Linked DNA regions of Mus musculus. The protein of the gene in region 2 interacts with the protein of the main gene of each other region in a biochemical or structural test. Links are inferred from orthologs where the notes say so. Each region holds a gene or a part of one and is shown on either strand. Other genes may lie near its edges. The genes, in order: Rab4a, Rufy1 and Rab14.

The links.
Region 1: the proteins of Rufy1 (region 2) and Rab4a form a complex in vitro, tested with the Homo sapiens proteins (2 studies listed by BioGRID). The link is inferred for Mus musculus from reciprocal best matches to the Homo sapiens genes RUFY1 and RAB4A.
Region 3: the proteins of Rufy1 (region 2) and Rab14 form a complex in vitro, tested with the Homo sapiens proteins (2 studies listed by BioGRID). The link is inferred for Mus musculus from reciprocal best matches to the Homo sapiens genes RUFY1 and RAB14.

The regions. Positions count from the first base shown.
Region 1 is NC_000074.6:123,829,862-123,832,915, reverse strand, and holds part of Rab4a (ras-related protein Rab-4A), read right to left. Parts: exon of another isoform or gene 2,902-3,054; intron 2,684-2,901; coding exon 2,529-2,683; intron 114-2,528; coding exon 18-113; intron 1-17. UniProt on the Homo sapiens protein: The small GTPases Rab are key regulators of intracellular membrane trafficking, from the formation of transport vesicles to their fusion with membranes.
Region 2 is NC_000077.6:50,428,177-50,432,560, forward strand, and holds the start of Rufy1 (RUN and FYVE domain-containing protein 1), read right to left. Parts: upstream 2,950-4,384; 5' UTR 2,930-2,949; coding exon 2,608-2,929; intron 1-2,607. UniProt on the Homo sapiens protein: Activating adapter involved in cargo sorting from early/recycling endosomes. Regulates retrieval of proteins from endosomes to the trans-Golgi network through interaction with the dynein-dynactin complex.
Region 3 is NC_000068.7:35,181,806-35,184,169, forward strand, and holds part of Rab14 (ras-related protein Rab-14), read right to left. Parts: intron 2,027-2,364; coding exon 1,939-2,026; intron 1,619-1,938; coding exon 1,588-1,618; intron 643-1,587; coding exon 465-642; 3' UTR 1-464.

The DNA.
Region 1 (3,054 bases), on a different chromosome or scaffold from region 2:
CAGGGAAAGGCTGGTACCTGATTCAATTTTGTTAAGTATTTTCCTTGCACACTGCATGAAAGCCTCTTCGACGTTCTCGCCAGTCAGTGCACTGGTTTCCAGGAACATCAGCTCTACAAATGGTATCAAAGAAGAGAGGGAGCCACATTTAGCAGAGTGAGAGAGAGTGATCTTTAAAATCTCAGTGCAGATTCTCATTCTAGGAGGGAGTGCATGCTATGGTGTGGGCGCAGTGGTCAGAGGACAGTTTGTAGGTCAGACTTTTCTTCCTTCCGCTATGTGGGCCACAGGGATGAAATTGATGTCCTCGGGCTTGGAGGCAAGTGTCTTTGTCCTCTAAGCCATCTTGCTGGCCCAATGACAGTGACTTTTAAGTGCTGACAAGCCTGTTCAGGATTCTCATGTAGAAACATGCAAAATCCAGTACCTAAACCTTCTCTTTCTGTAAATGTAAAATTAATACACATAAATATATATTTTTGTTGTCTGTTTTTATGAGATAAGGTTACATGTAGCTGAGGTTGGTCTTAAACTTTTGGCTCTCTTGACCATGCCTCCCAAGTGCTGGGATCACAGGGTATTGGTCCGGGTGTGTTGATGTGCTCAGTTATGGGAGCCCAACCCTTTCTGAAGAATAGCCATTGTTGTGCCCTGACCCCCGAGCTGACAGGATGAAGGCAGCACACTGTGGCAGTTACTACGCCAGTTGGGGCTGTTTGGCTAAAATCATGACTTGGAGCCAAACTTTCTTCTCCAAGTGATCTACGTGCTGACAAATCACTGCACTACACAGCACATGAGCAGGACCCATGTCCATCCCAGCCAGCCACAGCCCCACTGTCCAAGAAAAGCCATCCCCGCCCACAGCTTCTAATTTATATTCAGTTTAAAAATGTGTACATTTGGGCATCCTAGATAATTTTTACTAATTTGGCTCTCCTCTAATCGTTAATACTAATGATCATTAATAATAATTGGGGAGGTTTTGTAGTCCCACTTGATTTATTTTTATTAGTTTTTCATGAATGTTTTGCCTGAATGGATGTTTAAGCACCACATGGATACCTGGTGCCCAACGTGGTGGTTAAGTTGAGAATCGAACTTGAGTCCTTTGTAAGAACAAGTGCTCTCACCCACTGATCCGGCTCTCTAGCCCTGCTGTATTACTTAGACTCATGTTCCTTTATCTCCAGAGCAGGGGAAAGCAGGGGAAAGCCTGCTGGCAGGTACATCACAGCTATAAGCCTGTACTAACAGGTCTGTACTAATGGAGGGTTTTCCTGATCATTCTAAACACCTCCTGCTTTCTAAATAGCTCTAAAATGCCAGGGATGGGGGAGCAGGGGAGGCAGGGTGGAGGTTGGATGACGGTACACACCTTTAATCCCAGCACTCAGGAGGCAGGTGGATGTCTGTGAGTTCAAGACCAGCCTGGTCTAGAGAGTGAGTTCCAGGACAGCCAGGGCTATACAGAGAACCATACAAACAGCTAATCCTAAAACAATGGTTCTCAACCTGTGGGTCCTGACCCTAGGGGTTAGGGGTTGCCTAAGGGTCATAACAGTAGCAAAATTACAGTTGTGAAATAGCAACGAAAATAACTTTCTGGTCGGGTCACCACAGCATGAGAAACTGTCGTGTATTACAGGGTCAGCATTAGGAAGGTTGGGACCACACATCTCATGTGTAGACTTAATTGGTTCTCTTTCCTTTTTCTTTCTTTCTTCCTACCTTTCTTCCTCTATTTCCCCTCCCCCCATTTGAAACAGTTTCATTGTATAGCCCTGGCTACCTTCAAGATTTCAGAAATCCTCCTGCCTCTGCCTCCTAAGTACAAGGATTGCAAGCCCAAAACACCAAGCCTGGGTCATGTTTAGTTCTTAGTAAACCCCTGTTAAGATGGGAAAGCAGGTTTCTGTCTGCCTCCAACCATATGTGGACTTAAGGATGGAGTAGTCTCAGCTGGCTCAGAATTAAGGCTCTTCCTAAATGTTTATAATGCTGTTATCTCTGCAAGCAACTGCCAATTTTGCAATGCGGTTTTGACATTAATAAAGTTGTTACCCAGCCTGGTCTACAGAGTGAGCTTCAGGACAGCCAGGGCTACATAAAAAGACTCTGTCTCAAAAGAATAAACAAGGTAGAGGTTTGCTGCCGTTGAATGAATGACTTAATGTAAGAAAATGAAGCTAGCTGGCTGTTTCATCTGCTTCCTTTCTATGCAGGAGGATGACTTTACCAATTATGCTTCAGGTTACATTAAAAAACGTGCCACTCTAAGATGGCTAACATACCAGAGACATAAAAGCCCTGCAGATGGTAAATCCCTTGCTTTCCTCAACCCACTGACCTTTGTCGGCACAACGGGCACAGACTAAGCTATGCTGAAATAGCCTAAGTTGACAGTAGAGACTCCACAGTTTCATAAGATAGCTTCGTCTCAAAACTCCACCAGGTGGTTAAGACCCCCAAATGTCACTGTGCCCAGACCACCCTGAGAGACTCTCTTAGAGGAAAAAGTCACTTGCCATTCTCTTGTGCGAACCTGGAGGCTTCGAGGAAGGTGACTTCCCGGTCGGCATCCAAGTCCTTCTTGTTCCCGCAGAGGATAAGGACGATGTTCTGGCTCGCCAGCATTCTGGCATCTGTTAACCAATTAGTAAGCGCATTGTAGGTTTCTCGGCTGTGTGACATAAGATTGTGGAAATGATACATGTATTTTATAAAACTAGCAACTGTTTCCAGTCATCCTCACCATGCACACACTGTTTATCAACTGGGCCTCAGAGGTGACGTGGGAACCCGAATGCTTGGTGATACAATAGGCTCATGGGCTATGTTTAGCTTCTATTACAATGAAACCCTCTGGGTTTCAAAAAAGGGCTTTCCTTCCCTTCACAGATGCACCTGAACCCCGAGTATGTGCAAGATACGTGCCTGGCTTGCAACACTAATCATGGTCACCTGTAGACTTGTGAGCACCTTGACCCATAGGAATCCACCACGACAACTTTGCAAGGACCTCCTGGGGCTTAGGGACACTATGCAGGACTT
Region 2 (4,384 bases):
GTGACATTTTGGCTTATAGATTTAACATGTAACGAACATCAGGGCAACTGGCATATCCACCATCTCAAACAGTTTTCCTTTCCCTGTTGGGAAGGATTGAGTAAAACATCTCCAGTAGCTGTTAGAAAATATTCGGTAGTTCTTGCTGATCTTAGCTATTCTAGCTACAGTACAGAACTTCAGAAACCATTCCTCCTACCCAGCTCTACCCTGAATCCACTACCAGCCTCTCTCCATCCTCACCCAAAACTTCCTGAGATTTGGGAACTATTGTTAATTCTCTCTGTATCTTTGCTCTTAGCCAACAGGCTTAAGTAAACAACTAAAACCAAAACAATTTTAAATGGGAAAAAGGATAAGATATGGATATAAAGAAAGAAAACATTTTTGTGGAGGTACATAATGTGTGTACGTTTTAAGCCATTGTTTTAAGAGTCAAAAAGTAAAAACCAGGGCTGGTGAGATGGCTCAGTGGGTACAGGCTGGGTGATCTGAGTGCTGGCCCTGAAACTCACATGGCAGAAGGGGAGAACCGACTCCTGAAAGGCATCCTCAGACTTCCACAGGCACAGCACGGCAAGCATAATGATTAAAAACATCAGGGCTGGAGATGAAACTTGAAGCCCTGAGTTCAGATCCCCAGTGTTAAACACTGGGCACGACAGCATTTGTTAGTATTCCCAGTGCTTCCCTGGGAAAGCAGAGACAGGACGATACCTGGCGATGTGTTTATAAAAAAAAGATAAAGAGGTATAAGATATGTTCTATGGGGGTGTGGTGAGGTATGGGGGAAGGGGCTGCCTCGGCGGGTCCATGCCAAGGCACCCCCTACCCTCTGAGGGACCAGCCACATGATGGTATAGAATAGAGCTTATTCAGGGCATGGGGAGGGAAGTTAAGAGCGTAGTAGAGGCAGAGAGAGGGAGAGAGTTGAGAAGTATAGGCCGGGCATGGCCATGAACACGTGGAGAGAGGGGGACGGGGAGGGGGAAGGGAAGAGCAAGAGAGAAGCAAGGGGGAAGCAAGAGTAAGAGGGAGGAGGGGGCAAGCAGCCCCTTTTATAGTGGGTCAGGCCTGCCTGGCTCTTGCTAGGTAACTGTGGGGGTGGAGTTTAGACAGAATGCTAACACCTGGGTCTTTTTGGACAGTGTGGCCAATTGGTTAGCTCCGGGCTTAGTGAGAGACCTTGTCTCAAAAATAAGGTGGGTTAAACAGTTGAGGAAAACAGCCAACTTCTGGTCTCCAAGTACACAAGCACATGTACAAACATATGTGAACCCATATACACACACAAATGAAAAGGTTATAAAAATAACCAAGATTGCCAGGCGGTGGTGGTGCACATCTTTAATTCTAGCATGAAGAAGGCAGAGGCAGGAGGATTTCTGAGTTCGAGTCCAGCCAGGTCTACAGAGTGAGTTCTAGGACAGCCAGGGATACTTAGAGAAACCCTGTCTCAAAACAAAAAACTAAAAACAAAACAAAAAAACCCCAAACAAAAACCAAGACCAAAACCGAAAAATCAAGGTTAATTCATTACCAAGGAAAGAAGCTTTTTTGTTGTTTTTGTTGTGATTTTGTTCTTTAAAATAAAATCTGGGTACTAAAGTCTATTGTATGCACGTGATGCCCCAGGCATTTACAGTCAACACTCACTTTACCTCAGCAACCTGAAGTCTGCATGGTCCATTCACAGTAAGTGACCAGGCCAAGTGAAACGTGGTTATTTATTTATTTGTCTGTTTATTTATTTAGAGGCAGGGGCTCACTGTGTACACCAGGTGGGTCTCAAACTCTCAGAGCTCCACAAGCCTTTACCTCCTAAGTGCGGGTCTTAAAGGCGAGCACCACAACGCCCTTGGCTATCCTTTATATTTTAATTTTAGATATGTTCAGAAACACCAATGGATTATAATTAGCGCAGTTCTGAGCACGTACATTAACATGTGCAGGAAGTATGCACCCGAATCACCAAGCCCAGCTATAAAAAACAAATAATAATTTACTTTTGTTCTTTATTGGTATGCTGAAATTCTAATCTAGATCATAACAGCTGAATTGGATTATTCAACGTAGCTGATTAATTTTTTTTTTAATCCCCGTTTTTATAGACTGGGAAACGCGAGTAGGACAGGTGATGGGAAGTCTTCGTCCCACGGGGGGTGGGGTTGGGGGTTAGTGGCGGGAGAATAAAGGGAACTAAAACCTCCTGACTCTGACTCGCTGCTCTCACCAACTTTGGAATACGCTGTCAACCTCAGCCGCAGGTGCAAACCGGCTGGCTGCCGAGATTGTTAACTGGGGACCAGCACCGGACTTCATTTGTCAAGTATGCAAAATACGAACACTGGTGATTTTCCGTCTAAGCCTCTAATGTAAACCTCCTATTTAAAGTCAATCCGTGATCACGACGCAGCTGCTCTGAGGTTCACAAAGACAAACAAGGTGGGAGGGGAGTCCCGGGCCGCAGTCACCCTGGCCCGGTGGGTGACACCAATTGCAGAGCCCCGTGCCGCGCCGCGCGGCACAGCTCCGCGGAGCAGCTCGTCCGGCCGGTCAGGTTTCCCCAGCCCGGGAGCAGCCCCGGCCCGCGGGACCCCGGCCTACCTGCGCGCTCCCCGCCGCCGCCGCCGTCTCCCAGCCCCGCGGCCGCGCGCAGCGCGCTGCCGCAGCTCGCCGACAGGTTCCCGGTGGCTCTGCGCGCCAGCGTCAGGATGGGCGCCGACCAGCTGTCGGCCACTCGAGGCCGCGACGCACTCCGCAGCTCGCCGGGACTCGGCAGCTGGCTCCGGTCCACGATCTCGAACGCTTCCCCGGACTCTAGGCCTGCTTGGGGCTCAGGCTCCGGCCCCGGCTCGGACTCCGGCTCCCGCTCCGGCTCCGGCTCCGAATCCTGCCCCGCCCGGCGGCATTCTCCGCGGGCGGCCATGTTGTTAGGTCACGTGACCCGCCGCTGCCCTGGACCGACGACCTTAAGCCGCTGCGGCCTTGCTCGCTCTCACCTGGGCTTGCTTTCCTTGTATAGCATTCGGGAAAGTACGATTCCTAACCGTAGGTGATTCCCAGCCCGGAGCACTTGGAAGTTACTTTTGGACTTTCTACTTCCCACCCCGGGAATGCGCCTTATTTTAACGTTTTGCGACACAACTTCCTCTTTTAAACTTTCATTTCACATGCCTTTTCCCCCTTTGAATCAAAATCTCACTGTTGGATTTTTATTTGTTGTTGTTATTGTTGTTTCTTTCCCCCACACAAGGGAGACATTAAAACAGGCCATGTAGCCAAGTGGTGGTGGGACAAGCATTTAATCCCAGCATCAGGGAGGCATAGGCAGGCAATATCGCTGAGGACAGCAGAGTCAACGGAGTGAGTTCCAGGACAGCCAGAGTTACACAGAGAAACCCTGTCTCAACAACGCAGTCCCCATCACCCCCAGTAGGCCACTTGGCAGGGGTGTGCTTAACTACTTTTTTCTGGGGTGTGTGTGTGTGTGTGCGCGCGCGCGTGCGCGCGCGCGCGGCATGGCAGTTCTGGGAATTGTACTTCGTATCTCATACATGCTAATCAAGACCTCTACCACTGAGCTTCACCCAACCCCCAACACACATAACCAACAGGACCGTTGAATTTGTGATCCTCCTGTCTCCATCTCCCAAGTGCTTCTGACCCCACACCATGCTAGGCAGGCACTCTACTAGCAGAACTAGCAGAGCTATGTTCCCAGTCAGAATTTCAGTCTGTAGCTCCGGCTGGCCTAGAACTCAGTAATAGAGCACTGGCCTTGAACTGGTGATCCCCCTGCCTCTGTCAAGTGAGTATGGGGATTTTATGTGTGCCTTACCATGCCAACTCATGTCTAATATTTTCGACTTCATATTTTTCGGCAGCTTTCTTCAGAACAGGCTGTAAAAGGGCTGCCAAAGAAATTAGGACAGATGAGTCAGAGGTGTGTGTGTGGTGGTGGGGCTTTTTCTTTCAAATCAAATGAATCTGAATGACAGCCTAGCAGGCAAGGTCAGCAGTGGTGGTCTGGAAATGAGCTCTGTATTCTGCTATTAATTAAGTTGATAGGAATTGAACCAACCTCATTCCTAAGTGATAAGGAAACGCAGCACACAACGTACCTTGTGATTATTGTCTCTGCTTTCCAACTCTGGCTTGGATAAGTCACCCTACAGATATGTGGTTATTCAGCCTATTTTCTTACTAGGGATAGAAGGGAATTTGGCAAGATGGAGATGCGAATGTCATGAGAATGTAACAATTTGCAAAAAAGAATTTAACAGTTTGGACCATGTCAAACCACAGAACTCTTAGTGTTTAAAATTATTACAGTGTTGTTGCAGGCCAGGTGTGGTGGCACACACTTTTAATCCCAGCACTT
Region 3 (2,364 bases), on a different chromosome or scaffold from region 2:
ACCCCTTTTCTCTACCATCCAAAGTCATTTCACAGCAATGAACTTACTGGCTACAACAGACATACTCAACAGTTTAAAGATGGGAGGAAGGCTGAAAAGATCAAATTTAAACCGTACAGCGAGACAAAGCCTTGCCAAAAGGGAAGGTAAAAATCAGGTCCAGCAGCAGTGCTCAGTTTAAATCATATATTGGTGACAAACCTATCACAAGGACAATCAAAGGGGGAAAGTCTAGATTTACCATGCAGGAGAGATTTATTACTCTACTTGCCTTTGATAACCTGATTACATCTAGATGTTTAGCAGTTTAGTATTGTTAAACTGTTTTTACAAGAGTTGTTTTTTCTTTTTTCTTTTTTTAATTAAACCCAGTAAGATGTACAGAAGACAAGGAGGCAGTAAAAAGTACTGCTTCCAACAGACAGAGGTGAAAGGTCAAATGAGGGGCCAGAGCAAAGAGGTCACTAGCAGCCACAGCCTTCTCTCTGGGGTTGGGGTTCACTGGTTAGCCGTCCTCCCTGCGGGGCTGAGGGTTTGTGTTGTACACCAGACTCGGCAGCATTCAGATCCAGGCTTCCATCCTGAATGTTCTGATAGATTTTCTTGGCAGCCTCAAGAAAAGCATCTTCTACATTCTCTCCCCTAAGAGACAATCAACAACTTTATTTACAAAGCACAGCTTTCTAGAAAATGTAAGGCATTTACACTGACCTGCTAAACCTTTAGTCAACTGCCATGATGTCTTCCACTTAGCCACTGTCATCTAATAAGAGATTACCAGAAGACTGAGCTAAGAGAACATAGGAAATGTTTTTGGTGGTGAGTAAACAACCCAGTACCAAGCTGTTTCTAAAGCTCAGTTTGCATATTTACATCGTCTACTCACTGCAGGGCTCTGTTAATATACTGCATGAAAACTGAGACGGCCACTCTGAAATGAGCAGGTGCTCCAAATAAAACTTCTCCAAATGTACCGACAGGATTCCAGGCTTTCCATTATTTTATGAACAGCCATGTATAAAACTATGCTATCTTTATCATGCAATGGTGACATAGTCATGTTTAACCATGTTCACAGCTCAGTTCTCTTGGGACCAACAGCAGAGATAAATAACATGAACAGGTTGGCCTGTCCTTGCCTGGTGTGATACAGAACTATGACTGGGAGTGCTGGGATCAATGCTAAACTCCAAGGCAATCAGGAAATGTTCGCTGTGTCTCATTAGTCACTAAGTATGGAGTCCTTGAATCATTAAGGTGCTGTGTGAACATGCTGGCCCAGTGCATGTTCAAGATACCAAACTCAACCTCAGCTGTGAGAGTCAAACACTTGTGAGATGTCAGCACAGTTTCATTTATTAAGCTGGGTTACCAGTGGACACAATGAGGTACAACCCTTTAAGTAAAAGGGTCCCATTCTCTTGTAAAGTGAAACAGGAGCTTCTTCTGCTCACTGCTCTTCCTGCTGTCCACGGCCTCACTACACAGCACAGTTCCCACGCCTGTCTACAGCATCACTCACTTACACAGCACATGATTCTACTCTGCATGGAACTGAAACATGATCTACATTTTAGCCATACTTACGTTTTTGCGCTTGCTTCAAGGAACAATAAGCCTAAAAATAAAATTCAGACTAAAATTAGGACATTGCAGAGTCAGGAGTGCTCCAGTCACATGTGAGTAGGCCCCACAGCTGTCAGTACTCCTACTCCAGCCCTCATGAAGGAGCACGTGTCTGAGGTGCAGGGGCAGATCAGTACTTGTCACTCAGTAGCTGCACTACTACTAACAGGTATCATAGAAACAAACACTTTATTTCCTTATTGAGATTTCTGAATAGAACAAGTTAAAAAAACAAAATTCGAATAGCCGGCATGATCTAATTCTCCTTTCTTTTAAAAAATCCCATAGGAGAGTGTTAAGTCTCAAACCCACCGTTTTCCTCAGCAAACTGTTTGGCTTCTTCATAGGTAACATCTCTCTGTGCTTCCAAGTCTGCTTTATTTCCTATGAGAATTATTACCTAATTCGTGAACAAAAGAAAAGATATCTTAGAACAAAAATACCTATGAAAATTCTCAAATACAAAAGCCTTGACAGAAAAAAAGATGAGCCCTGGACTACACAGCATAAGGCAAGAACACTGAGCAGAACTTTCACAACAAGCTGGCTCAGGTTCTGAAAAATGACTGTAAGGAAGAGAAGGCATATTTCAGATTTGTGGGCCCCACACAAGTCTTGCTGAATATTATTTTTATTGTTGTCACAAATCTCTTAAAAATAGAAAAGTCATTCATTAGGTGAATATGGCTCACAAGCCAATTTGTTCATATCTGGTCTAGGCCAAAAAAAAATAAGCAA